Lytechinus pictus: one gene and its partners. The protein of the gene in region 3 purifies or fractionates together with the protein of the main gene of each other region. This does not show direct contact. Links are inferred from orthologs where the notes say so. Each region holds a gene or a part of one and is shown on either strand. Other genes may lie near its edges. The genes, in order: U4/U6 small nuclear ribonucleoprotein Prp4-like, speckle targeted PIP5K1A-regulated poly(A) polymerase-like, squamous cell carcinoma antigen recognized by T-cells 3-like and U6 snRNA-associated Sm-like protein LSm2.

Region 1 (7,383 bases), on a different chromosome or scaffold from region 3:
AGATTTAGTTATTGCATATCAGAATGTTATGTTTGCCTGATGTTTTCTCAATAACTCTAAGCTGTTATTAATGAATTCTTTCTAGAAACAAAAATAAGCAATTTATTCAAACATGTCAGTTTCATTTTGTAGACATATGCATTGAATTTACCAATTCAGTATAAGGTACGTATGCCATCTTTCACATATGTTGATTTTTATCACTGGTGGATCTGGGGGAGGGCACATCTGGCTCACCCCCCCCCCCCTTAGAGAGCCTCAGTCGAGATTTGTAATGAAAATATGCCATTTTCACCAAAGTATGCCCCCCCCCCCCCCGGAAAGCAAGGTCCTTTTTTTGCTTGACAAATTTTCATCATGAAAATGTGCCCCCCCCCCCAGGATAAATCCTGGATCCACCCCTGGTTTTTATTAAGTTTACATGTATTTTCATTTTGAAAAAAAAGGTTTCCTAGAGATTTGTAAACAGCATGATTTACACTGAGCGTGTCATACACTTCTGTGCAGAAGAATATTATCTTGAGAAATTTGGTTATTAAATTATGGAAAATATCTTTTGCAAATGAAATTACTTGATTGCAATTATTTCTTACATTGTATTGTCATTTTACTTGATAGAAATTCATTATTTTTTATAACCATGACAGTGTTCTAATTTCATATTTGCTAAATTGTAATAATTCTTTTGATCTTCCTTCATCTTCATGAAAGTATGAATTCTAGTCATCTGCTTCAAAGTCTGCCCAATACAATGGTTACAAAGGGCCTAAGCATCACTTGTCATTTTTTAATAAGTAGTTAAGTCAGTAGTCAAGTAAGGGGTCAGACAGTTTGGCTGTATTATATTTGTTTAATTATCTTACTAGTGTCAATTTACTAAACTTTTGCTGTTTGTGATTGAACCCCCAAATTGCTCGATAGTACCATTATGTTGGACAGACGTTAATATTGACTAGAGGACTATTATTACTTTCCAAACCAACCTGAAGATAATATGATACTTCACGTAGTACAGGGGTATATTGTCTCCCTTCCATTGTTGTGATGTATGGGCTGGGTAATATCATCTAACTTGTCCTGGAATAATCATTCTCTGCAACAAGTTCCACTTCAGCGACTCTCAGTTGAACATCATCATTCCTGGCATTGGCGGCGGAAGCCAAAAATTTTAGGGGGGAACCGCCAAAACTTTTTGACAAAAAAAAAAAAAAAAATAGTGACCAAAAATCTTAGGGGGGGGGGGACACAGGAAACAAAAGTGAAAATTGACAAGCCAAAAAAAAAAAAAAAAAAAAGGTTATCAACAAAAAATTGAGGGGGGGGGGGTCGTCCCCTCCCCACCTAAAATTTAGTGGGATACGTCCCCCCCCCCCCACTTCCACCGCCTATGATTCCAGGTGCTTGGAGATCTTCGAAAGGCATGCTATAACATCCACTTAAGTTCCAGTTCCTTTCATGTTTTTTCCTCATCTTAGTGAGCATCTCCAAGTGTTCATATTTTTAGTGTCCTTTTTTAGATTTACCAAACTCAGTTTTATTACCTGATAAATGAAATTACAAAATTCTATCCCAAAAATTGAACACTTTGATCAAGTTTGGTTACTTAAACTTAATGTTAAATAAACTGAAAATATGTAATAAAAGGCAAAATAATAATAATGATGAAAAAAATACCGGTAATAAAAACAAAAGTTACTCAAATTCACTCAAAACCATACACTTATCTACTCTCCTCAAAAATCAGTTCTCACTTTTAGGTATTGATCATTCATTCAGTCAATGAAATAATAAAAAGAGACAGGAGATCCTCATCAAAATAAACACAAACAGTGTCTCACACACACACTACACATTAATAGTAAAATCAGTTTGTATCTTTCGTGGGATTTGTTTTTATGTAAATCTGGATTCTTCTTGGTAGTAGGGCCTTAGGTCGCTCTGACTTGAACTTAAAACTTCCAATCTCAAGAAGGCAAGATATATCTCGGGAGATAGTCATCATCAAGATGTTTAGGAGTTCAACCTGGTGGTGAGGTTATTCATGATGGCATCTGGTATTCTGGCAGAAAGAATCAGAAATATAAAATGCATAAATACAATTGTTTATTTTTTTCAATACAAATTAAATTACCTGAGTCATTCAAGATAGTGGGTATTTTTTTTTAGGGGGGGGTGATGGCATGACAAGTTTTTAGTCAAAATTATTTTTATCTTCATTTATCTTTTTTTTCCCACTTTGTATTACCATTTATTCAAAAATTGCAATAAACATATCAATAAATGAGTTTTTAATCTACCGGTAGTTGGCAAAAGTAAAGCCAGTATTGGCAGTAAAACACTGACACCACGGCACTGACACTGACAGTGAATGTTCATTTTCCAGTGCATGCACATCACTGCCCCATCATCTTCACTCGTTTTCAGAAAATATTTAGTTATTTCTCAAATATGACCATGATTATCTTATTCATGTCATTACTCTGGTGTTTATTCATGATTTTAAATTCAGGAAATCATTCAGCAAACGAAGAAAACAAAGCATTTCTTGACTGTGATTCCGTGTGATTCAAGTTCAATTTCATTTCTGTGTGTATCACATGTACGCACGTACGTGACGTAATCTTAATCTCTATTATGATGTAAATTTATCATCCCGCGCGCGATTAAAATGGCTCGAAATTCGACCAAATTCAAGGACAGCTCAGCTTGCAAACCTCACTGAGAAGGGCTTCCCCAGCCCTTGCGATTCCCCGCGCTGCAATTTCACTGCAATACACAGAAAGGAAATCAACTCAAGTTTCACAATCAACGGAAAATCCGGAACCCTTCGAGACCCATTTTACAAGAAATACAACTAAATAAGGTAAGAATTGAAAGCAACTCAAGACATTTTCGACTTACCGACACTTTCATGTTTATTTTCGGAAGATTTCATGGAATTTGGGGCACGAAAATGGTATCGGTAGCTCGCGAAAGTCCTGTGCAATACGATGACATATTTTTCATCGCACGGGAGGACAATCACAAAGAGAAAATATCATACACATCCGCGCTAACAGGGGCTTAATTTTGACGATATCGCATCGCTATGCGATTGCAATGATTGACATGCGAACGAAGCTTGCGTACAAATTTTGAGCACTTCCGCGACAGCGCCATCTAGTGACTACGGCCGTGCCTATACAAGGCATGGCAACAAATAGTCAAAACTGACTAGTTTGCATATTCAAAATAACATTAACACCCCCCCCCCCTCACACACACACAGACACAAACAAAAGAGGGGGAGACTGACGGACACTGCACTGGCTCGTTTTGACTTACCGGTACTTTTATTATTATTTTTTTTTACTTATGCAATTTGTTTGGTTTTCTTTCTCTAATGAGTATTCTAGATAAACTTACTTGTTCATCCTCCTGCATCGAGGCTGCTAAGGGCAGCCCGTCAGCGACACGGGCTATCATCGTCATCAAAACCATCTTGAGAAATTGTTTATGATGAAAAAGAGAAAGGAATGGATGGATGGACTGGTCAACAAGACAACTGCAAGTGCAACTGTTCCTCAGGTTTGCCTACAGCAAAATCAATACGTGGAGCTAGTGATGCTGAACTAGGTTATACAGAGATCTTCTAAGCTCTCAGCACGTCGATTCCCGATGAGCGTGGATAGCTCTTCTCTTACTGCTTCGTTAAAACCTTGAGAAATGTGTCGAATATAGCAAGATAACCAAATGGTATACCTGAAATTCAATTGAAATCGAAATTCCAGGGTGGTATAGGATCTAAAAAGAGATTCATACGTGTACCACAAAATTAGCCTTATCTCAAAACGCACAGCAGAAACTTTGAAGATGAATTATCAATTTCGAATGCATAAATTGCATTTCTCAAAGATTTAATTTAGAGAACGCAACTATTTTGGAAGATCTTCAATTAAAAAATAAATAATACAATCATAGACGAAGTAAAACACTTATAACGTGCAGTTTTATTGAATTTTATAATACTATGACGTCTGGTATTGACCATGAAATCCGAAGAGGAAAAAGGTAAGAGAGAGTGGTAATGAATAAAATATCAATTTAAGAATCGTATTTCCAAGTATTAAAAATAAAATACGGGTCAATGATTTTTTTTATTTTTATCAAAAAAAATAGTTTAAAAATAATATTTTTAGACTTTTAAGTTTCAAATTAAAAAGAATTGAATTTATTTAATATATTTGAACCCCAAACATATTGTTGAAATTCTTTAATTGCAAAATAAACGAACAGTCAACTTTGTAGTGGCTATCTTCAACTACTTTGACCGACGAACTTCGAACGTGAGGAGCTTTCTTATATTTCGTATTACGTATTTCCCCCCTATTGATTGATAATGTACGTATTAAAATGAATATTTCACTGTTTTTTTATGTTAAATTTTCATTTTTATTCAATCAATTGAATAATGTCAAGTATATAATAAGTCTTGCCGTGGATGTGTGGTGTACCTGACTCAGCTCTGAATTGCGTAATGTATGTCCCACGTATTTAAAATTGCGTGGTAAAAAAGTTCAATTGAAGAAGGTGAAAATGGCAGAATGCATCTGATCTGGCAGGGCCGGGGCGGTATCACTCACACTAATACGTAACCCAGAGAGCTCCCGCCCGCGCAGCGGGCGGGAGCCCAGAAGCTTACCGTGTATTTTACCATTGTCACCGGACTAGGGTGATTTATGGTCTAAATATTTCTCAAAATGAATTGTGAAAACAGAAAGTATACAATCAATTACCACGATTATATGGATGAAGGTCTAACGAGTGGCAGTTTCCTGACATCTGGGCACAGACTGGAACCTCAAATAAACGAAAAGTTCTCTCCTCTACCCCAGTCTCGATCGGCCATTTTGTTACAATTTTTAACAAAAATGGCCGATCGAAACGGGGGTAGAAGGAGAGAACTTTTCGTTTTTTTGAGGTTCCAGTCTGTGCCCAGATGTCAGGAAACTGCCACTCGTTAGACCTTCATCCATATAATCGTGGTAATTGTATACTTTCTGTTTTCACAATTCATTTTGAGAAATATTTAGACCATAAATCACCCTAGTCCGGTGACAATGGTAAAATACACGGTAAGCTTCTGGGCTCCCGCCCGCTGCGCGGGCGGGAGCTCTCTGGGTTAACTAATACGAGGTTCGTATATATTATACGAACCTCGTACACCGGACCGTGTTTGACCGTAGATTTCGAACTAGTCGGCAAACATTGCTTCATTGCTGAAGTAATATTTGCCGAAACTCCTTCTCGCTACGCACCGGGGCTCTTTCCGGTAAGTAGCAATACATAACAAAATTATACATATGATATTTAACTCATTTCATTTAAAAAGAGCAAATTTCGCTTACCTCGGCCTAGCAAGTGACTTCGTTTGTCTCTTCTACGGAAATACAAGGAAGCCCGTTGGTGGCGCTAATAAATTTCACAACCTTGATTCAGCTCCTCGGTAATTTTATAACTGTGTCTAAATTCTTTGAATGCGCAATTCTTATGATTAATTTACTAATTATGGGCACCAATAAATAAAATAGGGTAACGCGCCCGGTATTCGGTCACCTCCCAGAATTCGGTCAGACAGCTGTTTCAACAGCTGTTGAAAAAAAAAAAATAATGCATGAGCCAGAAAACTTTGGCATATCATGCAAGAAACCAGCACTTCCAGCCCACCTCAAAAAAAATGTCGATTAAGACAAGCACACAGCCAAAAACTAACCTTAAAATTGACCGCGTCGGGGGGGTTTTGTTTACTTCCGGGTTTCTTAGCTATTGAGTTAAGCGGACGCAGCCTCATGTAAACTCTTGTGACGTCATGACTTCGTGTGTAGGTGTAGTGAATTTGGTACGAGTGTGAAGGGGAAGACTTGTGTGTTCACCCAGTCGCAGCGAATATGCAACTAGCAGTGAAACTGATGAGTAGCGAGGGCTTATACATTGCCCCTATAGTGAGAGGGCGCTCGACCAGAATTCGGTCGCGCAACATTGAGTGTTTTGCCGGTGTGTTTGTAAGGAGGGAAGAGCGTGCAGATACGTTGCTCCTCGCAAGTGAAACACTTCTCTTAATCCATTTTTTGTTCTGTTAGGCCTAAATAAGTTTAGAATATATCTAAAATTATTTTTCATGAATAAAAATCTTAAATCAAAGATGTTTATTGCCTATGAAAATGCAATTTGAGCAGGTGAATGACGATGGTGACGAAGTTGGTAAATTTGACCAAGGCTCATTTTGATTGCCTTTGCGTGATTGAGTTGAAGTCTACATCTTTCTCAAATGATAGGGCAAATGATATGCCTACGTTAGGCCTAAATAAGTTAAGAATATACCTACAATTATTTTTATTAATAAAAATCTTAAAACAAAGATGTTTATTGCCTGTGAAAATGCAATATGAGCGGGTGAATGACGATGGTGACGAAGTTGGCGAATTTGACCAGGGCTCATTTTGATATTGCCTTTAACGTGATTGAGATTAATTCTTAGTGATTTCCTTTTTGGCCTCAATAGTTAAACTGTGTTATTTTTTTAATGTTATCATAGTTATTTTCAATATTATTATTAATTTGAATAATACATCCGGTTCCAGGGATGATGGACCCCCCAAGAAAAAAAAATTAAAAAGGCTCTTCCACGAGTGTTATTTTAAAAGACGTCATTGCTAGATCAAAGGCTGGAAAATTGCCCCTCAATTTTGCCTGTCCCTCACATATCAGAGGTCTGCAGCTAATTTTTTTGGTCGTTTTAATTTAAAACAAGGGGCCTTTTAATATTGTCATCATTGCTAATAACATCAATCGAAAGTGGATGACAATGTTGACGAATTCGGTTAGAATTATCAGTTACTGTTGTGAATTCAATTGGAATTCAGTTGCCCGAGTTAGGCCTAAAGTGATTTATAGAATTAATAAAATGTTCCTTTCGTCTAATATTAATTTTAAATTCTTTGAGTTCATACTTTCAATGACTTTTCAAACAGATATCAAATCTTTACTAACAGTATATCAAACAGCAGGTTGACAACTCAGTATTGGATGGTAGACAAGATGTCAAAAAGGAGGGCGTCTGAGGTATATGGGATACCTAAATCAACGCATAGGGATAAAGTAGGTCTACATATTTTTATTTACTTAACCATACTCTGAACTTAAACTATTATATCAATCGGTAATTTCCATCATGCTGTGTAATTCAAATGTTCTAAAAAATTTTCCTTACCAGTTTCTCCACAGATCGATGGGAAGACACCAGTAAAATCGCGGCATGGTTCCAGCCCTTACCTGTCCGTTTCTATAAAAGCAAATTTGGCGGCATGGGAACAGCGGATGGCAAAATTCGGGGTGAAGAGACTA
Region 2 (7,744 bases), on a different chromosome or scaffold from region 3:
CTTTGACCTTGGTCATGTGACCTGAAACTCAGGCAGGATGTTCAGTAATACTTGATTAACCTTATGTCCAAGTTTCATGAACTAGGTCCATATACTTTCTAAGTTATGATGTCATTTCAAAAACTTAACCTTAGGTTAAGATTTGATGTTGACGCCGCCGCCGCCGCCGTCGGAAAAGCGGCGCCTATAGTCTCGCTCTGCTATGCAGGCGAGACAAAAAACTAGAAAAATTCTGAAAATTTGCATCTTATATGCTATATGAAGAAAAAATCTCACCAATTCCCTTTTAAATCATTAAACAAGAATATTGTCACCCATCTCGTCACCCGACGCATCTCGTCAGCATGTTTGATATAATGTTGCATCCCATAGAGATAAGAGGGCGCGTGTCCGGAATCATGTTATTTTTAACGCATGAAAATCATTGTTTTTTCGTGGAGGGGTATGTGGCAAGTGCGGCCAGAATTTTGCCATATTCATAATTTTCATATATGAAGAGTTTAGTTGCAAAAGGGGTTAGGTCCACTTTGGACCATTCCGAGAAAAACCATGTTTTTTATTCTCACTTATTGCAATATTCTTATGAGAAACTGAATTGTCATGATGTACTACCCCATCATGTGAACATAAAATTGGGTATAAAAGAAATCTACCTGTCTTCAATTTTTTTGAAAAATTATCATTGTGGACCTAATCCCTCTTGCAACTAAACTAAAATGAATCCAATCTCTTTTGATTAAAAAAGTGATTTTTCTTTGCCCTTTTCATTCACGTTTTCATTTGAATCTCAAATTGTCTTTCATATCATCAGAGACTCAGAGTGACTAAAAATTTAGAGGTTTAGAAACAAAAAACAATAAAATTTATGAAAAATGGACCTAACCCCTTTTGACGAATTTATGAGTTCTTCAAAAGAGTTTAGTTGCGAAAGGGGTTAGGTCCACTCCAAGAAAATCATTTTTTTAATTCTCCCATATTGCAATATTCGTAAGCGAAACTAAATTTTCATGATACCCTATTACCCTACCATGAGAACATAAAATAAGAGAAATCTACCAGTCTTCATATTTTTTAAGATATTCTTTTCCAAAAAAATTCTGTGGACCTAACCCCTTTTGAAAAAAACGTGACTTTTCTTTGCCATTTTAGTTCACTTTTTAATAGGAATTTCAACTTTTCTTTGGTATCATCTTATAGAGCTACTAAAAATCTATACATCAAGACATAAAAATCAAATTTGATGAAAAATGGACCTAACTCCTTTTGCAAGTGAGCTCTTCATATTTAGAATCAATAGCTAAGCTAGTGCAATTTTTTCTTGAATTCATCGTCTCTATATGCCCTTTTTAAAGCACTGAAATAAATTTAAGGGCCTGTATTCTGAAGTCGGGTTTAACTTAAACTCAGGTTTAAAGTTGTGGCTTAAGTATGGATAGCCAGTTGTTACATTATAAATCACTAACAGTAGAGATATCATATTTCAGCTCATTTGCCTTTCAAATCATTCATAATTGTCTAGGGAGTATAAATAGATGATTGTCTTCACCATCAATGAATCAGAAAAGAGCACAGTAAACATCAGAAACATACAACTTAAAGGGATGGTCCGGGCTGAAAATATTTTTATCTTGATACATAGAGTAGAGTTCACTGAGCAAAATGCCGAAAATTTCATCAAAATCGGATAACAAATAATAAAGTTATTGAAGTTTAAAGTTTAGCAATATATTGTGAAAACAGTCGTCATGAATATTCATTAGGTGGGCTGATGATGTCACATCCCCACTTTCCGTTTTCTTATGTTATTACATGAAATCACATTTTTTCTTTATTTCATACTAGTGTGAATAATGTCTCTCATATAATGAAATAAGTTGCAGCAATAAATATCTAATGCACTAAATCAGTTGTCAATCCAATTTTTCTAGTTCTTGGAGGAAAAAATTTGAATAAACCTAATTTCATATAATAAAATACAAAACAAGTGGGGATGTGACATCATCAGTCCACCTAATGAATATTCATGACGACTGTTTTCACAAAATATTGCTAAAGCCTAAACTTTAAAATTCAATAACTTTGTTATTTGTTATCCGATTTTGATGAAATTTTCGGCATTTTGCTCAGTGAATTCTACTCTACTTATTAAGCTATAAATACTCTCAGCCCGGCCATCCCTTTAATGAAAATTTTGACTCTTTTGGCTTCCCATAATTTTAGCACAGAGTTAGACCGTGGTCTAAGTTAAACCCGACTTGAGAATACGGGCCAGTGTGTCCGGCAATACGAGTCACGACCATAGGTGCACGATTTATTTTTTCCCCTATTATTTGGAGTGCTATTGCGACCCCATTCTACGTGTACCCCATTTTGTAGAGCATATGTCTGCCCAGTATTACACGGACGAGTCCTGAACGGGCCAGGTGGCTGTTTCATAAAGCTGTTCGTAAGTTAAGAGCGACTTTAACTTAAGAACAACTGGTGATCCTTTCTTACGCGCAAAACCATCGCTAATGAATACCATTCGCCACAAGAAAGGATCACCAGTCGTTCTTAATGTCGCTCTTAACTTACGAACAGCTTTATGAAACACCCACCTGAGCTCCCTGGGTTAGGTCCCCCCATCATAGTTCATACCGATTACCGGTGTTTCGACCGGTTTATGCCCGCCAAAATCATTCCCATTCATTCAACTTTCAACAGACAAGCTGAGTGAAAAACAAAATCGCTGACCAACTCGCACTTCCCTGGATAAAAAACAGTAACATCGAAGTCAATTTAAACATGCAAGGGATATTTACCGTGCAATAAACTGCCATGAAGCAGAACAGACAAACTAAATACATATATGAGTTCCATGTCATGATCCGCCAACCAGAAAAGTGAAGATCCTGAAAGTGAAATATGAACCGACAGTACCGGTACGGTATTCAGTAGCTAACTCCTGAATCGATTGCACAAGACGAAGGCCCTGCCACAAAAGATTTGTAACACATTGATCAAGCACATACATTAACCACGCAAGTGTACTACATAAATATGATGAGAAGCCAACCTTTGCTATGGTACTTGTATAGCTACCTATACTCCGCCGGCGGATGTTTTGAATCTGAAACGGGCATCATGGAGCACGATACGATATCATCAAAAGGGAAATCTTTCCATTGTGACATCTGCAATGTGAAAATCATGTCAGGTATTAGAGGTCTAAAAATGCGTTGAATATCCTTCTTTGTTCATTCACATACATAACAATTTAAAACACTTACCGTACGGTACCGGTACGTTGTGGTCGACAATTTTTGCTTTGCGATGATGGCGCATGATAATGATGTGCGATGTTAATTCCGGTCATGAACAAGATGAGGGTTGGAATGGACGTGGGGCGTCCGAACACGTGACACTTCAGTTTGAATTGAACTTTCATTTGAAGCCTTTTTTTTGTCTTTTGATTACACAAAAAATGTGAATTAAATTGTTAAAATCTTTGAAGGCTTACGGGTCATTCCAGAGGCGCACGGCCAATATGGGAGACTGTATCCCAGCCCAGACCCACTAACCTCGCATGTTGTGTGAGTGGCCCAGACCCAATAATGACTTAATGAGTAATACTAATAGTATACTAATGAGAGAGATAAGGTTACAATTACATTACTGCGGCAGCCTGAACACAGTGTCGAGGTCTCCGGGTCAAACGTAACATAAGCCTTGCTTAAGATTAACTTCAGTTGTGGACGCAGGATCTTCTGGTGATAAACAGAGACTTTTGTAAAGAATTTGGGTATCCTATTTCAGAGACAGTTGACTTTGACTGAGTTTGAGTTTGGGAGACCAATTTCCTTAGTTTGTTAACATTTGCTGCAAAAGGATTAGCTTGGCGGCAAATAAAAATGTGATAGGCCTAAGCAGATTCTTCATGAAAAATTACCCCTTTTCACCGTCTACTTTTGTTTCGATAAGGATTTTTGTAATTCACACACAAAACAAATGGGCTTCTGACCTCGGAGTTGGACAAATTTCGGGTAGAAAAAAATATGCTTTTGTTGCCTGTTGGTTATTTTTGTTATTCACAATCACACACAAAACAAATGGGCTTCTGACCTCTGACAAATTTTGGTAGGAAAAAATATGCTTTTGTTGGTGTTGTTTCTTTTGTTCTTTTGCAAAGCAAGTCTCCATCCCCTGAATATGGGAGATTTTTACTCATATTATAATTGGAGAGAGTTTCCTATATTGGCCGTGTACTATACTGCCCAAAAAAATTTAACCGACAATTGTTTATCTTTTGTCAATATTTTCAATAAAAAATTGGTAGACTCTGTTGTTAAAAATAAAACGTTAGGCCCTAGAATGGATCTAACGTTACTTGTTAAAGTTAATGTGGTCCAACAGTGTAGATAGTCACGTATTGTATTAGGGGAGATTGGGTTGGAACATTTTTGACAAAAATTGCTGTAAATTCCAAATAGAATTTATTTGAGAAACAATATATCAGCTTAAAGCATATACCTAAGACTAAGGGCTTCAAATGTACCCCATAAAATCTTTAACTCCATGACGGTTACTGAAAAAATCCACCTTGAACAAGAACATCGCAAGCGTTCCAACTTACCCCATATACGGGGTAAGTTGGAACATGGTATGGGGTAAGACGGGGCCCAGGTACACTCAGTACTTCTAACTAGGCCTAATGTGAAAAGGGCTTATTTTTCAGCCCTCCTACACAGACAGAAGACTTAGCCTTGAGGACTCCATGATGATATTTTTTTAATATTTTGACATATACTTCTTCATCATGGAGCCTTGAACCACCTCCCATATATGTATAAGAGACACACGTAAACAAAGATGGATTTCCCTATCTTTGAAGATAGAAATCACGTAAATGTTAGTAATTTTATTTATTTTTACACCTTCATATGCCTAATGTGTATGAAGGTTTCAAAAAATTTTAACACACCCTTTAATCCAAAGCACCCCCCCCCCCCCCCCCGGTTTTGCGGAAAGGGTGCATTGGGTACTGGGTAGCGTATAGTTTCCTGGAATACAACCTTTTGTTGAAAGGGTGTGTCAGGTTTTTTTTTTTAAGTCAATTGTAGACAGTCAAATTTACATTAATTTGTCCATTGCCCTTTTTGGTTTAACCAGGCACGGATCCAGGGGTCTTGTTCAATTCATTTTTGACATTTTATGATCAAAACTTTGTTGCCCCATTTGGCAAGTATGCCTACTGGTACCTGTAAATATTACTGTTTACTTTTTATTTTTACTTGTCCAACATGACATGTTATTTGCCCCATTCAAGCCATCCAGTGAAAGTGTCAAGCTATGTTGTAATGACCGGGTTAAGAATTGAACTTTATATTGCATGGGTCCCTTAAAGATAGAATGGATGCTCAAACTACAAACATACTGTTCAACATTCTTGCTACATGTACATGTGGTTGCTACGATTTTCTAAATGTACTAACAACAAGTCCAAGAATTCATAAATTTTCAAACAACATTGAAGCTATTTCTTGATTCTTGTAGTCGTTCCCTCAATCTGTCTAATATTAGGCTGTTGTCAACATGGCAGAGCAAAGGCCAAGAGCCAAGCAAATGAATATTCTGGATTCATTTAAAAGGGCTGAAAAGCTTCAGAGAAGCTAGGGTAGACTTTCTCTCAGGTTTACATCCTTAGCATTATATTTTCTGATTGCAGGTAAAGCTGTTGAGGATCATCTTCAAGGAAAGAAACATCAACGTCTGATTGCAATCCAGGCTTCAAGACAAAAGCAAGCAGAATGTAGTATATTTGTTGGGGGACTTACCAAGCTCGTCTCTGAATTAGAGCTCACAGATTACTTCTCCAAATTTGGCCCTGTTGCTCAGGTCATTGTAGACAAGGATAAGGTGAGATTAATACCATGGTGAAACTTTATGCTTTCTTCAGTCTACCAATCTTTATACCACAAAATGCTGGCATTTTTGATCGATCATTCTCATCAATGATAACTGAAATAATACACATGACAATGGGCAATAGTTAGAATGAAAAAAATTATCTAAAGTTATTAAAGAATGTTGAATAATCCAGCCCTCTGATTGGTCTAAAGTTAGGTCATGTATTTGACCAAGTCTGTAAAACAATAAACCAAGGGCAACAGGCATATTTAACAAGATTTATGCCCATTGCAACCTAGTAACAGGTATAGTTTTGCTGAGATCCACATTTGATTAAGTGGAAAAGTTGCTTTGTGCAGTGATTGCAGATACCATAATTGAATTGAATTGAATGTATTTATTGTCCTGTGTAGGAAATTCCTTTCACATCGGGTTTACAAAATTACAAATACATATGCACATACACAGAATGAATAGACTTACAATACCGTGGGATTGCATACACATACAAAATGCTGTATACGTTATTTCAAATAAAATAGAATAAGTACAATTGCAGATATATGAATTAATTAATTATTCAAGTATTAATTGGTTTGTGGTTCCATCTCCAGCCCGAATACGGAGGGGGGGGGGGGTGGAACGAGTATTGCGAGGAAGGTAAATTAAAGGTGAAGGAGTATTAAAAAGGGGCGGGGTTAAGTACCTTTTCATAGTAAGCTAAGTGCAATTCCCCATTCTATCTGATAACTGTTCTATTAAACACATGTTGAGAATTGGGGACGAATGACTGCCTAAAACGTACTCTGTTAGTACGGGAGACACAGAGGCGTACACCAGACCTATTGAAGTTATAATAGCAGTGTAGAGGGTGAGATGGATCTTTTAAGATAGCCTCAACTTTAGCCAGTAATCTCTCGTTGTACAGAGTTTCAATTGGGGGTAATTCAAGACCGATTATTTTCTGAGCAATTTTCCGTGGACGTTCAAGCTTTCTTTGTTCGATTTAGTAAGGTTGCTATAGAAGCAAATTACATTACAACTGACTGAATAATAGACTTGTAAAACAGGGACAAAATCGACCTATCCAAATGGAGCTTTTTGAGTTGGCGAATGAAAAAGAGTCTTTGATTTGCCTTCTTTTGAATTGAGATTGTGTTTACAGTCCAGTCAAGAGTATACGTGATTGTGGTACCAAGGTACAGAAGTGATAATTGTGGATAAACATTATATTCATCTAGTTTCTGAATTAGCAGATGTGGAACCAAAGTGTTAAATGCACTTGAAAAATTGATAAATGTCGATCTCACATACGTTTTAGTCTTATCTAAATGAGACAATGTTTTGTGTAAGTGCAGTAAAACTGCATCTTCTACTCCCCTGTTTGATCTGTAAGCAAATTGTAATGGATCTAAGTGAGCATCTGTTTGTTTTAACAGATATTTTAACATCAGTTTCTCGAAACATTTCATAATACTGCATGTTAACGCAATCGGTCTATAATCATTCATATCAACCAGGTTCTTGACTTTTGTAATAGGAACTATGGATGATGTTTTCCAAAGTTCCGGAATAGCTCCACAATCGAGGGCGATTTGAAAAAGTTGTCTGAAAATACCAGCGAGCTGGTCTTAACATGTTTTCAAAACTTTATTCGGGATACAATCTGGACTGGGTGACTTGCTGACCTTTACATGACCTAACAACACTCTTACGTCATGTTCCGTCCAAACAATTCTATTGCTATCGCATTCATCCATCTTTTTTTATCGAATCTGCAATAGAATTCATTTAGATTATCTACGAAAGATTGACACACAGTTGATAGGGGTACCCCTGTTTTTGTTTTGTAGTTAGT
Region 3 (7,772 bases):
ATGAGTTTTTTTTTTACAGAGGAAACTGGCACTGATAATCATTCTGTAGCCAAATGGATAGAGACCTGGAGCTCTTGATTAGGTTTTTGTGATTTCTTTATTTGGCTCTCTTTGGCCAAAGTTATGTCAGGAGAAACTGTTACATGTAATCTGAATGAAGATAGAAATGAAAAGAAGTGCCAAATGAGCAGGAAATAAAACAAGGCAAAAAAGTCCAAAGCTGTAGATTTCATCAATTTAAGGATTAGGAAAAGCTATTAATGATTTATGTTTTGATAGAAGTAAAGAAAATCAAATGTGTAATCTGGATTCTGGAAAGCAAAGCAAAAAAAAAAATCACCCAACCTGTATGGAATCATGTTGCTTCTGACACGGAATGACATCACAGACTTCAGGACGGTGAAGACCACTATAAAACTTATTTTCAAAGCCTGATAATTGGAGCTACTCTCATGCAAAATACTCAACTAGCGAAAACTGGTGAAAATTCATAAATCTTTGCATGGCTGTGTTTTGTAGTTTATAAGCTTTCAATTGGTAAATGATATTTCAATTTCACTTTGGGTCAGGTCAAGGTTTTTATTAAAATAAAATAGTGTTAATTAAAAATATTGTTGATAATGTTTTTTGTTGTTGACAATGTTGATAACATTTTTTCTTGTATTATGGATATATGGCTCAACCCATGTAACATCCTTGTACAACTGACCCCATCAAGAGGCTTAGTTGTGCAAAATTACTTTTTTCAAAGACATTGTTTTCATTGAGATAATATTCTAATCTTAGAAACATTATCATAATATATGATAGCTATTATTCTTCAATTTTACTAGGTACAAGCTCTTGGTGACTTTGAATAAAAAGTGGTACAACTGACCCACCCTTCCCCTAATCACAGCATTTTGGGTCTTCAAAACTTATGTAAAATATGTCATAGTTTAGTTCAGAAATGTATGCAATGAACGAAAAGATGGAGAAAATATTTGTACCAGGATGACCCTGGTATATATATATCTGTAAAGCGCTTTGAGGTCTTATTCCGATGTATTAAGTGCTATACATGTATAAAAGCGGAATACTATTAGGAGTAGTAGTAGTAGTAGTAATACTATTTTTACTGGCACCCAGGGCCTGTTTTCATTTCAAGCTAGCATCATTGTCCTCATGTCAGGTAAATGATGTTAAAAAGTGGCATAAATACACAGTAAATTAAGTGTCTTTAATGACTCATACTCGTGCGAAGCATACAGAGATTTATTTTAAGTAGTCTGATGAGAGCTGTCAAAAATAATTTCACAAGATACTTATTCTGTACAAACTTACATGCTGCAATTATGTGAAACTATAATTTGATTTGTACCCATTTTGCTTTGTTATATTGACACATTTCTTTTATTTATTGCACTGTATATGCATGTATAATGTATATATATATTATGTAAGACATTTATAAATTGAGCTGCCATGCTATGATAAATCTTGATTCGTCAAATTCTTAGTTCTGGAGTTATTTTGTATGTTTTTGTGTTGACAGAAAAAAGAATGAATGAGTATGCATTGAGGTGAATTTGTACAAAAAAAGAAGACCAACCTAATATCATTTCATTTGAAATAAAGGCAGAAATTTGAGAAACAGGCAATGATTATAGAATGGCCATGTATCTTTGAAAGAAAGGGAGCTTAGTGGGTTTTCCTTATTTTTTTCTCAAAAAATTACAATCCCAGATGAGTCCCAGGGAGTGTGCCTTTTGTGAGTGTTTAACCATTTTGAAAGTGGGGGTGGGGGGGGGGGGCTGACCATGTGAAAAAATTGCAATCAGATAGTACTCTTAATGTTTTTGTACATGTCAGTTGAAAGCGAACTGAACTTCCATAAATTGTAGAAAAGTGTGTGTTTATGTGGGGAGGGGGGGGGGGGGGTTAGAGGAATGTATTAGAGCTACTCATCTAGATGTCACAGTCAAAAACGTAAATTTCATAACTGATATTCTTCTGATCCAGGAATGATTTTCAAAGAGAGGGCGCTGTTTTGTTAAGCAAAAACGAAATGTTTTTTCCTCTAAAATGAAGGTGTGATAGTGGCCAAAACACATAATTGACAAGCAAAAAATAAAGGGGGGAGGGGGTGTGCTCCCAAATGAGGGAGATTTGGGTGAAATCTCTACATTTTGGCAAACCCCTCTTCCATTGTCCATGATTCCTTGGCGAATTTATCTACAAACAGATCAAATCCTTGAATTTTCAGCCATTCCATTATCGAGTAATAGTGTTATATATTCAAGAGGCAAAATATATTTTATTTTGATATAAATAGCATAAGTTATCAAATAAATTGATTTTTATATTAACTGATTTTTATTTAAACAGGTAATATAAAAATCGGTGGCTTGATCCCAAAAGTATGTGTGTGTGGGGGGGGGGGGCTGATCTGTATGGGATGGGTATAGTGATATGGGGCCTGTGACGAGATGAATGATACGTTGGAACAAAATCCCGTTTTGGCGTTTGACTTCTGAGGCCGCAAGACGGGACATTTTTTGAGCACTTTTCGTAATCACGTTATACGATGCCTCTCGAATTAAACATATTCATCTAATTTCTTTTCTATCTTTATTTCCATCCTTTTCTTTTTTATCTCCCTTCGTTTCATTCCATCTTCCTTCATAGGCTCAGTGTCTATTAATGTAACCCCCCCCCCTCGCTACTTCATGGTGGAGGGGATGCAGGGTTTCGGTAGTCTTTCTTCCCCTCTTCATTTTCCCCTTTTCCTTCCCTCAGTCCCGACATACTCAGCAAACCCTGTCCTCGAGAGGCTATCTTTTATGAAAATAAAAAAAAATCCCCTTTTCTCTTTTTGTTAATTCTTTCTTTTTCTTTATATTATCTTTATTAATTTATTCTCTTTCTCTAAATTTCACTTCGTTTGCATCTCTTTCTCTATCTTTCCTGTTCCTTTCTTTCTTTCTTTCTTTCCCTCTTCCTTCAGCTGTTATCTTTTTCCCTTCCTTATTTTACCGACCCCCCTTTCTTCGTCTCTTCTCTCTCCTTTCCCCTTCCCCTTTTCACCCTCTCCGATCATTTCTTTCCCTTCCTACTTCTCGATGGCCGGACTTGTCCTTTAAGTTTATAGCATGTGCACATTTGGGCCATCGATTCGAGCCCGCAGACCGCGGCCATCGAGATCAATTAAAAAAAAGTAAATGAAGAAGGGGAATGGGAAAGGAGAGAGAAGAAATGAAAAAAAGGGGGTTAAAGAAGGAAGGGGAAAGGGATGAAAACTCGAGAGAAGGAAAAGAATTAGGAGTATAAAGAAAGGAACAGGAAAGATAGAGAAAGAGAAGCAAAAGAAAAAAAAATAATTAAAGGATGTTTAAAGATAAGAAAAAGAAAGAAGATTTAACGAAAAGAAATGGGGGGGGGGGGGGTGTTTTTATTATAAAAGAGAGGGCCTCTCGAGGACAGGGTTCCACTATGCCGGGCTCGATCCCCCGCTCGATCGTCCACATGCTAAACTTAAATCGGGGAATTCAACCCAAACAAAAACTTGGTTTTAAAGGGAAAAGAAAAATGAAACAAGTTGAAAGGTGATATAGTTTGAACAATATCGACAAACATTAAAGTTATGCTGTTTTTAAAGAGTTATCACTATACCCATGGAGACTTCAAATTAGTTGTCATAGTGATAAAACAAGGACTACTCCAGGCAAATCCAATACATAAAATGTCAATTTTTTTGAAAAGTTTTAGTGCAACTTATATTTTTCTTTCATGAGGACATAAAGTAATGTACTACCTGGGTTACATTTAGATTACTGCCCCATGCCGGGGAATGGGCACTTCGCTGAAAACCATAAATCCCTGATAATATACCGTGACTGCATGGGTCCACTGCGGGGGGGGGGGGGGGGCACATCAGGTCTGTGTCCCCCTATTGAGAACCATAATCAAAATTTGCAATGTAAATATGCATAATAAACAAGTGTGTCCCCCTTTGAAAGTAACTGCATACATTATATGTGGTTCATACACGAGTGAGGCCCTCAGCTAGCTTTTATTTTGCTTGCTAGCTTTTACTTGGACGAAATGACCTCAAATTTTGTGTGAAAACATTTATTTTTTGCTTGTCAATTTTACTCGGACGAAATGACCCCCAATTTGGGGTGAAAACCTTTTTTTTTGCCCCCCCCCCCCTGGATCCACCGTCCCCTGACTGGGCCTATGGAAAAGTTGCCTGAAAAGTTGTCCTTATGGCCCTAATATTAACTTGCCTCGGTCATAATTTACTTGCCCAGTTGCCCATTTGAAATCTACATAGTCTAGGGAATCTCTTCAAATAGCCATAACTTTCTTATTGCTTGTCTGATTTCTTTTAAACTTTCACCAATCCGCTTTTTTCATTAATTTCTTTCCTTTCTAAAACAACGTCTTAAAAATATGAACAAAGGCTGGATTCCCAGGACCACATTATGTAATTTTTATTCTACAGAGGGCGTTTTCAACAATCAAGATGGCGGAATTTGCGAATGTTACAGAATTGCAAAATGTAGAAATGGGGGAAGAGAAAGAGCTAGGCGCTACCTCCGAAGATTCGAGTGACGATAGTGATGATGAGGATGCCGATGACCAAGAGATTATTCAGCTCTTGGATGAGGTAAATCATTTTTATGAATTAAAGTGAGGAAAGTACAAAAGTGTCTGAACGTGTTGAGTGCGATTATGGCAATAATGCCTGGCATTGTCCCACATATTTCTTTTGATGTGACGTGACCTGGGGACGGATGGATGCTACCACCACTTGTTCATTGCAACCATCCTGCCTGTGGGGAATCTACAGGTAGGATATGGTATGCCAATGCTGTACACAGCACACACTTTAAACAAATCATTAAAATATCACTTTTGTGACCAAAAATACTAATTTCCATACAGTTGCAATTCATTTTTCATTAGTAACTTGGGAATAATTTTTGTATTCACCAGAACGCTCAAAAACTTGAATTTTGGGCATATTTTTGTTTACGCCCTCTATTGGCGGAAAGTAAAATTGCAAGAAAATTTTCATTTTTCAATCTCTATTTTCAATCTAGAAAAATGATTGAAAGAATTCAATTTACTTAAGAGCCTAGTTATATGAAGAATAGCTGTAATAGAAACTGACAGTGTCAAAAAATCAAGCATTTGTCCCCAAGAACAAGAAAAAATGAGCCAAACATTGCCAACCTGATTTCACCTCACAAGGAATACTAACAGAGAACAAGGTTATCATAACCTTGTTCATTGAAAGAGTGGTGGCAAGTTACAAAACGGAATAATGTGTTCATCGCTAGCACCGGCGCCTTTAGCGGGCGACATACATTTTGCTTATTACGTGACGTCATCCAGCCACTATCGCAAGCCAGTTTATGAATGAAAATATAGTAAGCATGCGCAGTAAGCATGCCTCCCAGTACCCCACACAGTATTCCATCAAAACAAGTCTGCAGTTCCCAAACTTTGAGACGGTGTGAATACACTTGATATACTCTGTGTTGTACGAACTCATTTAGTTTGATTTTAGAGGCTCTATATTCATTCTGTAACTAAAATCAGACATGCTTGCATTTAAATGATTTCATCGGCTAAAGCAAAAGTTAAAAATTACTTAAAAATGTGCTGTGCAGCTGTGTTCTGGATTGATTGAAAAATTGTCAAAATTTTCACCCCTCTGCAGTGAATGGTCAGTTTTGAATGATTTTCTTTATTTGTTTGATATTCCAGGTAAACAGCAACCCATATCAATACGATGCACATCTGAAATTGATCACAATACTGAGGCAAGCGGGAGAGCTGGAGAAGCTAAGAAAAGCAAGGCAGAATATGAGTGAGCTATTCCCTCTGACTGGAGGTGAGATTACTGCGCCACCAAGGGTCTGTTTTAAATAAGGAACCTCTGACAAAGATAACTATGCCATTGTGGTAACCACCATGGTAACGGGCCTAAGCAACCGATCAAAATCAAAGCTTCTATTGCAGCTTCCACAGTCCATGTCTGTGAAACGGACTGCCAAATGAAAAAAAAAAACTCACAAACAAAAAAAAACAAATCCATAGCAATACTATAGATCATTATATTTCTTGTCTTCAAATGTAATTTTTATTTTTTTTTATATTTGTATGTTTTATTGACATGAAGTCATGTAAATCTTAAAAGCTATAGTTTCAACAATTTTTTTCATGACATGAAGCTGGTGATGTTGATTTTAATGGTGGTGATGCTGGTGGTGATGATGATTATGATGATGGCGGTGGTAATAAAAATGAGACGTAGAATAATGATGAAAATTGATTATGATAATAGACAGTAGCGGACTGTGACCCGGAGGAGACAAAGCATTGGAGGGGCACTGTATTGTTTGTGAACAATGCTGTGCCCCCCAATGCTTTGACTCCTCCGGGTCACGGTCCGCCACTGATAATAGATATAGTTAATGATAATGAAGAATGATGATAATTTATGTATTAACAAATATGATGTAACAATTAAGGAAGATGGAATTAAAGTAATCAATCTAACCTAAAGATGGTGAAATGGGAAATGAAATAGGGAAATGACATGACTTTACTTTATTTATGAGTCCATTGATTTCTCAATTCAGAAAAGTGACCACCAAGTTTCATTTAGCAGTGGGTAAAACTACCTTTTCTTATCTACATTTTTTTTCAATTTCATTAGAACTGTGGATGCAGTGGATTCAAGATGAGCTTAAGCTCATGGAGAGTGGTGACGATAGACAAAAGGTCATGGAACTCTTTGACAGAGCTGTGAAGGACTATCTTGGTTGGTATACGCTTTACATGACCCTCTACCCCAAAACTGCCAATAAGTCAAGCAATTTAGAAAACACCCCCTCCCCCCAGTCAGATTATTGTGGCAGTTTCTCTTTTTTTTGAGGGGGGTTGAAATTTTTGTCTCGCCTGCATAGCAGAGCGAGACTATAGGCGCCGCTTTTCCGACGACGACGGCGGCGGCGGCGGCGTCAACATCAAATCTTAACCTAAGGTTAAGTTTTTGAAATGACATCATAACTTAGAAAGTATATGGACCTAGTTCATGAAACTTGGACATCAGGTTAATCAAGTATTACTGAACATCCTGCCTGAGTTTCAGGTCACATGACCAAGGTCAAAGGTCATTTAGGGTCAATGAACTTAGACCATGTTGGGAGAATTATTTTCAAAATCTTAACCGAAGGTTAAGTTTTTGAAATGACATCATAACTTAGAAAGTATATGGACCTAGTTCATGAAACTTGGGCATAAGGTCAATCAAGTATTAGTGAACATCCTGCTCGAGTTTCAGGTCATGTGACCAAGGTCAAAGGTCATTTAGGGTCAATGAACTGGTCAAGTTGGGGGTATTTGTTGAATTACTATCATAACTTTGAAAAATTTATGGATCTAGTTCATGAAACTTGGACATAAGGTTAATCAAGTATGAGTGAACATCCTGCCTGAGTTTCAGGTCACATGACCAAGGTCAAAGGTCATTTAGGGTCAATGAACTTTGGCCAAGTTGGGGGTATTTGTTGAATTACCATCATAACTTTGAAAATTTATGGATATAGTTCATGAAACTTGGACATTAGGTTAATCAAGTACCACTGAATATCTTGTGCGAGTTTCAGGTCACCTGACCTTGGTCAAAGGTCATTAAATGTCAATGAACTTTGGCCATGTTGGGGGTATTTGTTGAATTACCATCCTAACTCTGAAAGTTTATAGATCTAGTTCAT
Region 4 (7,953 bases), on a different chromosome or scaffold from region 3:
TTTCGGCATTTCAAAATCTCATCAAAATCCTCAAATCGTGTGTAAAGTGATTGGTGCGCAGACACGAGGCGCTGGCCACTATCATAATGTTAAATCTGAAATTGAAAATCATAACTGGCTGAGTCTCAGATTTTTTCCAAGACCAAGAAAATCAGTTTCACATTCGATCACATATCTCTCTCATTTACTTACAACAATATATGGAACAATATCAACTGAAAGATTTTGTGAAATAAAAACAAAATTCATGTTAAATCTTAACACAAATCGTAAGGTCAATATGATGTATGTGCGCAGACTTGCACCGGCATGGCAGCCACACATCCACGCCCGGCTAGTCGCGGCCGGCAGGCAGCGCTGAGGGGCAGTAACAGGATGTCCTGACGAACTCTAACGTTACAGCTAGCCCCGCAGCTAGCTGCGAGCCGCGCCATTTAACAAACTACGAAAAGAAAATCATAGAAAATTGTTAACTTACCTGTAGAGCCTACTGCGAATGTCTTAGCTTTCAAGTCATTGTCCAAATCTGGTCCGTGTGATTTCAGTGGTTGAATTATTATTAAAACGGCCTTCTTTACCCTTCTTTATCGCACTAGCACTCGATAAAAGTGCGGTGCAAATTAACGGCGCGGCGAAGATGGCTCTTTCAAATTCAAATTAGATTGGCGGTTTGCGTTTGGCGCCTGGCGGCGCTGGTTAATTTGCATAATTATACGGACGATAGCGATCAGTGGCACTCAGTGCGCATGCGCAGGCCCGCCCGCGCCCGGTGATTGAAGGAATAACGAAGGGGGGGGGGGGGTCTAAAGCAAGAAAGAAGTTTTAAAATAGAAATACGAACTTCTTAACATACAAATTTCTTCTTGTTTGGTTTTGGTTGGCAACCAGTCAAGAAATGACGATTTTGCCTCTGCTTTTGCATGGAGCTTTTTTTTTCTTTGAAAGTTTAAGAATGAATTAGCTTAATATTTGTTCTTTATTTCTATTTTATTTATTTTCTTTTTATTTGAAAGATAAAGATAGCCTTGCTTAACATGGCAAGGTTGTAAACTAGCAATAAATATGCGCGTTATAAATAGAAAAAAATAGCTATTCTATTCACCTTCAAAAATATTTTTAAAATATCAGTGAGTTAAAAAAAGAAAAATACATTAATTTTTATGTGATTTGTAAAAATAGTGTAAAATAGTCCTCTTTAACTTAAATTAGAAAAAAGGGATTAAATAGGAAGAAATTTTTTTCTCGCAACAAATATCTAGGATAACAATTTTTTTAATGTAAACTAGAAAATTTCACTGAGAATAACATGTTTCGATTTAAGTTATATGGTGATATCGAACCACATACTTTAATGAAACTTTTCAAGGTGGAAATATTAAAATTAACATAAAGAATAATTAAGTTAGTTATTATGTAGATATTTTTTTCCTCTTATCCTCAATCGAGCTGTGTATAGGATGGATAAATGCATGGCATTTATTGTGGTAAAAGGCTGAATTACATGAATTTGTACAGAGCAAAATTTCAGTAAACAAATAAGCAACAAAAAAATAACAAAGTATACTAATGTATAATATTGGAAAGGGGATACAAAAAGAAAAGTATACAGGGAGGGGGGGGGGGAGTAATGTCAAAAGCAGGAATGGGCAAAGGTTGGGAGTAGGCTAAATGTACTATATACCTTTAACATAATGAACATTTTCACATAAATATATATTTAACCAATGTTGAATGAATAACAATACATGTAGATTAAAGAGTGGATTGTATGAAATAATACTTGCTTTTTTTTTAGAAAAGTAACGCTTTGTTGATGGTAACAATAATAATAGTTATAGGAAACACATTCATGAATGATAATCATAAAGAATTATCTCAAAAGGAATTAAAAACAAAGATAAGAGGACTTTGAAGTAATATGATCTGTACAAAAAATATAAATATTAATGTAAAGTGGGTTACAGCTATATTGAGCCAGTGACTTGTCGGATAAGAAATTTGAATGATTACTGCAGATATCAACAATTACAAAAATATTTCAAAAGTCAGTTTAAGAGAAGCGACAAATAAAACAACAAAGGTATGAAAACATAGTTCTTATATAATATATATATATATATATATATAAACTCTGTTGGAAATAAGTACAATGCATTACCACTATGCCTCTAATATACATATATATATATGTATATATTATATATGTATATACGGGTTCTTACTAGAATCAACTGGTAAGTCCTATTGGTTCTAACTGGTATCATTTGGTTTGATATTCCAGTATGGTTAATGGGTTTCAAGTGGGTTATGGGTGGCCTATGGGTTCCAACTGGTATAATCTGTTCCAGTTTGGTTTATGGGTTTTAACTGAAATCAGCTGGTAGATATATACTGGTAATGCCTATTGGTTCTAACTGGTATCAATTTATTGGTTTGATATTCCAGTATGGTAAATGGGTTTCAAGTGGGTTATGGGAGGTCTATGGGTTCCAACTGGTAAAATATGTCCCAGTTTAATTGATTTATGGGTTTTAACTGGAATCAACTGGTAGTATACCAGTAATGTATGTTGATTTTAACTGGTATCAATTGGTTTGATATTCCAGTATGGTTAATGGGTTTCAAGTGGGTTATGGGAGGTCTATGGGTTCCAACTGGTAAAATATGTTCCAGTTTGGTTTATGGGTTTTAACTGGAATCAACTGGTAGTATACCAGTAATGTATGCTGGTTTAACTGGTATCAATTGGTTTGAAATTCCAGTATGGTTAATGGGTTTCAAGTGGGTTATGGGAGGTCTATGGGTTCCAACTGGTATAATCTGCTTCAGTATGGTTTATGGCTTTTAACTGGAATCAGCTGGTAGATATGCCAGTAATGCCTATATTGGTTCTAACTGGTATCCATTGGTTTGATATTCCAGTATGGTTAATGGGTTTCAAGTGGGGTTATGGGAGGTCTATGGGTTCCAACTGGAACACTCTGATCCAGTTTGGTTTATGGGTTTTAACTGGAATCAACTGGTAGGTATACCAGTAATGCATGTTGGTTCTAACTGGTATCAATTGGTTTAATGATATACCAGTATGGTTTATGGGTTTAAGGTGGCATTAACTGGTATATACACCCATTGGGTTTCTATGGGTTCCAACTGGCATCAAATGGTCCAGTTTGGCTAATGGGTTTTAAACTGGAATCTATTGGTAGATAAACCAGAAAGGCCTATTGGTTTTAACTGGTATTAACTGGTGTACTAATTTATACCAGTATAGTTAATTGGTTTCAACTGGAATAAACTTGTATGTTTTCAGCATGTCCAGTTGGGACAATGGGTTTCAACTGGAATATACTGGCATGGTGGGAGTTTACCAGTTGTGCCAATTGGTTTCAACTGGTACCAGTTGACTCCAGTTGAAACCAGTTAAAATTTCAACTGGTTTCAACTGGTTTTTTTACCTGGGCGGACACTATTGTGATTCCGGACGCGCATATAAATGCGTTCGAAAACAATTTCGAACCGTAAGACTTCCGCAATTCATTTTCACAGATCAATACATAGAACAAGATTGCAAAAACAAGGCGAAAAAAATCAAATTTCTACCTTATTTATCTCTAAAATGACAGAAAATGCTTAAAATATCATATAACATAGTTTTGCATTAACAATTGAATGAATTGATATATTTTCTAACGGAAATATGGGCCTGATTTGCCTAATTTCAATCTCGTCGGCTCCTTCGATCGAATGATGATCAGGTGAGGTGTATTGTGGGTGATCGTCGACGGCTAGTTCTCAAGGTACCGTGCGCGAGGTTTACCGTGAGTAGAGCCGTCGACGATCGGCTGCGCATCGATAAAACTTGATGAGCGTCACGATACGAACGAGCACTGGAAAGTGCCATGAAACATGCAGCTAACCAAAAAATAAAAAATAAATTAAGTTATCAAACACGAATTTATTACCAACATCTGCTCAGATTCGATATAAAAAAAGCAAACAAAAAGTTAGAATTTATTCATGATATGATATAAGAAGAAATAAATCACTGAAATTTATTCTCACATCATTATAATCAAGGATATCTTTACCCGTCCGGAGCGCGTCCGGAATCATGATGTAATTTGTCGCGCACGAAAATAATAGTTTTTCGTGGAGGGGTATGCGGCAAGTGCGATGCAAAGAAAATGGTTCGTAAATATAAAATAATTTTCATTATATTTGGAATAGCAAGTGCGAATTTTTCTTGATTGTATTTTCTCTAGTTGTCATTTTTAAAGCACTGAAATAAAGGTGTCCGGCAATAGGATACACTACCATACATGGGTAAAAATATTGGTTGGCAACGTTTGGCAAAAAATAAGTGTTGATGGATTTGAAATGACGAATAAATTAATATGAATAAGAAAAGTAGAAGAGAGTTCACTTACACTTGTTGACATCGCCATCTTTGATCCTTTTAATTGCAACCTAGTTACGTGACGCGTATAGAGGGCGGCAAAATCATGAGCGGTGCTAGATTAAAAAGTGCTAAAATGTCCCGCTTCAACCACTGAACTAGAAATACATAGAGAAAACATATTGCATTTTGCCTTCTACGGCGCGGCGCGTTCTCGAACAATTGACCTAGCAAAATGGCGGCGGTCATGTGACTTATCGAGTTCGCCAGCGATGTTTTGCTTGGGTGTACACGGCTTCCACGTATTTCTAGTTCAGTGGTTGAAGCGGGACATTTTAGCACTTTTTAATCTAGCAACGCTCATGATTTTGCCGCCCTCTATACGCGTCACGTAACTAGGTTGCAATTAAAAGGATCAAAGATGGCGATGTCAACAAGTGTAAGTGAACTCTCTTCTACTTTTCTTATTCATATTAATTTATTCGTCATTTCAAATCCATGAACACTTATTTTTTGCCAAACGTTGCCAACCAATATTTTTACCCATGTACATAAGTTTTAAAGCTAGAATCTAAACATAACTAGCAGTTTGGCGCATTTCTATAGTTGCATTTTCCCTCGGTGTGTAGGATAGTATAGGACACAGTGCCAGGCGTTAGGGGAGTGACCATACGTACAGTATAAGTCTTTCACTCCCCAGACGCCTCCAGGCTATCCAGGACCAGGTCCAGGAGTCCAGCTAGAGACGACGAGATGAGCGATACGTAGGAACGTCCTAGGACCATTCTTCCGAGATAGGAAGATTGAAGACAAATCAGCGCTTTCCGTTTCACGAAGGCAATTTTGTCTTCCAAGTCCGCGACATCGTTTGATATCGATAGTATTCGGAATCGGAGTCTTCATCGTCACCTGAACTTGAACTTTGTCTGAACCTTTTATTTCGGAATGGCGACTTTTCATAAAATCATATATTTTAATAAAAGGAGATCAAATAATGTTTTAGTTATTACTGATTGTAGAATCGATGTATGGAGCTTACTTTATGAGGTAAAAAGAGAAAAAACTTTCAAGATTCACAAACATAACTAACTGGATAAAATCGAAATCATTATTTCCCTTATTTAGAACACGGTGTCCATTTAGAGACACCTTTCATTGATATTTCAATGAAAGAGACCCTTGTCCGACCTAAAAATTGATTTAACTAAGTAATTTCGACATTTTATTAGTCAGGGCTCCACACTAACCCTTTTTTTCTACTGGTCCAACCTATTCATGTCGGACCAGTAGATACCCAGTTTTTCAATTTTTTACTGGTCCGAACCTAAAATCTACTGGTCCCAAAAAATAAAGAAAACATTAAAAAAAGGCGTGAGTTTATTTTGCTGTCCTTTCTTGTTACCCCCCCCCCAAAAAAAAAAATGAAGGAATGAATGAATGAAAGACAAAAAGAAAGAAAGGAAGAAAGAATAAAAGAAAGGAAGGAAGGAAGAAAAAAGCAAAGGTAAAGAAAGGATAGATGTGAAGGAAGGAAAAAAAGAAAGAAAGAAGGAAAGGAAGGAAAGAAAGAACAAAAATAAAGAAAGAACGAAAGAAAAAAAGGAAGGAAAGAAAGAAAGAAAGAAAGAAAAAAAAAAGAAGGAAAGAAATATGCAAGCAATAAAGAAAGAAAAAATAAAAGACAGAAAGTAATGAAAGAAGGAAAGAAGCAATAAAACAAGAAAGAAAGGGTAAAAGGAGAGATGGAAAGAAGGAAAAAAGGAAGAATAAAAGAAACGAAGGAAGAAAAAAGTAAAGAAAAAATGTGAAGGAAGGAAAAAAAAACCAAAGAAGGAAAGGAAGGAAAGAAAGAACAAAAGAAAAAAAGAATGAAGGAAAGAAGGAAAGAAATGAAGCAAGCAATATAGAAAGAAAGAACAAAAGACAAAGTAATGAAAGAAAGAAGGAAAGAAGGAATAAAAAAAGAAAGAAAGGGTAAAAGGAGAGATGGAAAGAAGGAAAACAGAAAGAAAGGATTGAAAGAAGGAAGAAATCAAGAAAAGGGAAAATGATAGAAGGAAAAAGGAATGTTGGGAAGGAATAAAGAAGGAAGGAAGCAAGCAAGCAATATATAAAAAAAAAAAAAAAAAAGTAAAAGAATAAATGCAAGGAAGAACAAAAAAGAAAGACCAAACTTCAAAGAAAGAAAGGAAAGGAAGCAAGCAGTAAATAAAAGGAAGAAAGAAAAGGTAAAAGGATAGATGGAACAAAGGGGAAAAAGAAAGAACAAAAGACAAAGAAGAAAGGAAGGAATGAAAGAGAAAGGGCTGAAAGAAGGAATAAAAACAAGAAAGGGTAAAGAAAGGATGGATGGAATGAGGAAAGAAAGTTAGTAACAAAGAATGAAGGAAAGAAAGGGGAAAAGAAGGAAGGAAATGAAGAAAGAAAGAAGAGATAAATATAGGATGGATGGACTCAAGAATTAAAGAAAGAAGGAAATCAAAAAAGAAAGAAAAAGAAAGAGCATTAGAAATAGAGAAAAATATTAACAGGACAGAAAGAAAGAAAGAACAAAAGACAAAGAAAAAGGGAAAATTAAAAAAGAAAGACAGTAAAAGAAGAGAGGGAAGAAACAAAGAAAGATTGAAAAGAAAGAAGGAAAGAAAGATTGAAAGAAAACAAAGGAAGAAAGCTAAAACTATCATCATAAATAAATTATCAGTTTCTTTTTGGCTCAATTAAAATATACTAGTACTAGCTACGAAAGAAACCAAGTGGATCAACACACACACAAATGCATATGTGGGGCTATCATGTATTCAGACGATATCACTCGAAACCCGATCTCTTTGAACTAAAACAGAAGTGAAAATTTCTCCTTTTACTGCTTACAAATGACAGAGTTACCCCAATTTTGGCAAATTTTTAGGAAATATGGACATTATAAGAGCTTTTCATTAGTGTGAAATGTGAATTTTGACAGTTCTGTGAGAGATATCTGCCAGAGGTTAGCCAAGCTTCGTTCGTGCAGCCAGTAGGAAATTTACCATGTGGGCTGTGTGGCTGGCTAGCCACGTGTACACTGTATGTTACCCTATCAAAAATTGCATGCGATTCATTCTGTGTGTGTTCTGTGTGTGAATGCCAGAATTTAACGGGAGGAAAATGGTTCGCAATTTGAGTCAATTTAAGTTGGACTAGGGAATTTGACCATTTCTGAAAAAGTTACTGGCCCAACAATAGTTTTTATTACTGTTTATGTCGGACCCATAAATCTTGCTATTTTTGGAAAAATTACTGGCCCGACAATGATATTTTTTACTGGTCATGTCGGACCAGTAAATCTTGCTATTTCTGAAAATCTACTGGTCCGACAGTGATTTTTACCGGTCTGGGACCGTCGGACCGGCGCTAGTGTCGAGCCCTGTATTAGTTCAATATTCTGTATTTTTATAGAATACTAAATATATAATGATAAATTTGCAAATTATGCGTTAATATGTTATTTGTTGAGGTAAAAATAGGGTTTGAATGGTGTAAACAAAATCAACAGTGTCTGATTGTATGAGACTAAAAAG

Evidence for each region.
Region 1: the proteins of squamous cell carcinoma antigen recognized by T-cells 3-like (region 3) and U4/U6 small nuclear ribonucleoprotein Prp4-like purify together in Homo sapiens (affinity purification with mass spectrometry; 5 studies listed by BioGRID and IntAct, counting the BioPlex papers as one, with this or other methods). This does not show direct contact. The link is inferred for Lytechinus pictus from reciprocal best matches to the Homo sapiens genes SART3 and PRPF4.
Region 2: the proteins of squamous cell carcinoma antigen recognized by T-cells 3-like (region 3) and speckle targeted PIP5K1A-regulated poly(A) polymerase-like purify together in Homo sapiens (co-immunoprecipitation; 4 studies listed by BioGRID and IntAct, counting the BioPlex papers as one, with this or other methods). This does not show direct contact. The link is inferred for Lytechinus pictus from reciprocal best matches to the Homo sapiens genes SART3 and TUT1.
Region 4: the proteins of squamous cell carcinoma antigen recognized by T-cells 3-like (region 3) and U6 snRNA-associated Sm-like protein LSm2 purify together in Homo sapiens (affinity purification with mass spectrometry; 3 studies listed by BioGRID and IntAct, counting the BioPlex papers as one, with this or other methods). This does not show direct contact. The link is inferred for Lytechinus pictus from reciprocal best matches to the Homo sapiens genes SART3 and LSM2.

What each region holds. Positions count from the first base shown.
Region 1 is NC_087259.1:20,211,464-20,218,846, forward strand, and holds the start of U4/U6 small nuclear ribonucleoprotein Prp4-like, read left to right. Parts: upstream 1-4,236; 5' UTR 4,237-4,325; exon of another isoform or gene 4,326-4,380; intron 4,381-7,383. Other genes in the region: vesicle-trafficking protein SEC22b-like, read right to left, coding at 3,406-3,480. UniProt on the Homo sapiens protein: Plays a role in pre-mRNA splicing as component of the U4/U6-U5 tri-snRNP complex that is involved in spliceosome assembly, and as component of the precatalytic spliceosome (spliceosome B complex).
Region 2 is NC_087247.1:65,568,484-65,576,227, reverse strand, and holds the start of speckle targeted PIP5K1A-regulated poly(A) polymerase-like, read left to right. Parts: upstream 1-4,554; coding exon 4,555-4,624; intron 4,625-5,704; coding exon 5,705-5,895; intron 5,896-7,744. Other genes in the region: nuclear envelope integral membrane protein 1-like, read right to left, coding at 2,802-2,859. UniProt on the Homo sapiens protein: Poly(A) polymerase that creates the 3'-poly(A) tail of specific pre-mRNAs. Localizes to nuclear speckles together with PIP5K1A and mediates polyadenylation of a select set of mRNAs, such as HMOX1.
Region 3 is NC_087246.1:34,702,014-34,709,785, reverse strand, and holds the start of squamous cell carcinoma antigen recognized by T-cells 3-like, read left to right. Parts: upstream 1-4,483; 5' UTR 4,484-4,507; coding exon 4,508-4,651; intron 4,652-5,757; coding exon 5,758-5,884; intron 5,885-6,712; coding exon 6,713-6,817; intron 6,818-7,772. UniProt on the Homo sapiens protein: U6 snRNP-binding protein that functions as a recycling factor of the splicing machinery. Promotes the initial reassembly of U4 and U6 snRNPs following their ejection from the spliceosome during its maturation.
Region 4 is NC_087259.1:10,985,534-10,993,486, forward strand, and holds the start of U6 snRNA-associated Sm-like protein LSm2, read left to right. Parts: upstream 1-4,817; coding exon 4,818-4,835; intron 4,836-7,953. UniProt on the Homo sapiens protein: Plays a role in pre-mRNA splicing as component of the U4/U6-U5 tri-snRNP complex that is involved in spliceosome assembly, and as component of the precatalytic spliceosome (spliceosome B complex).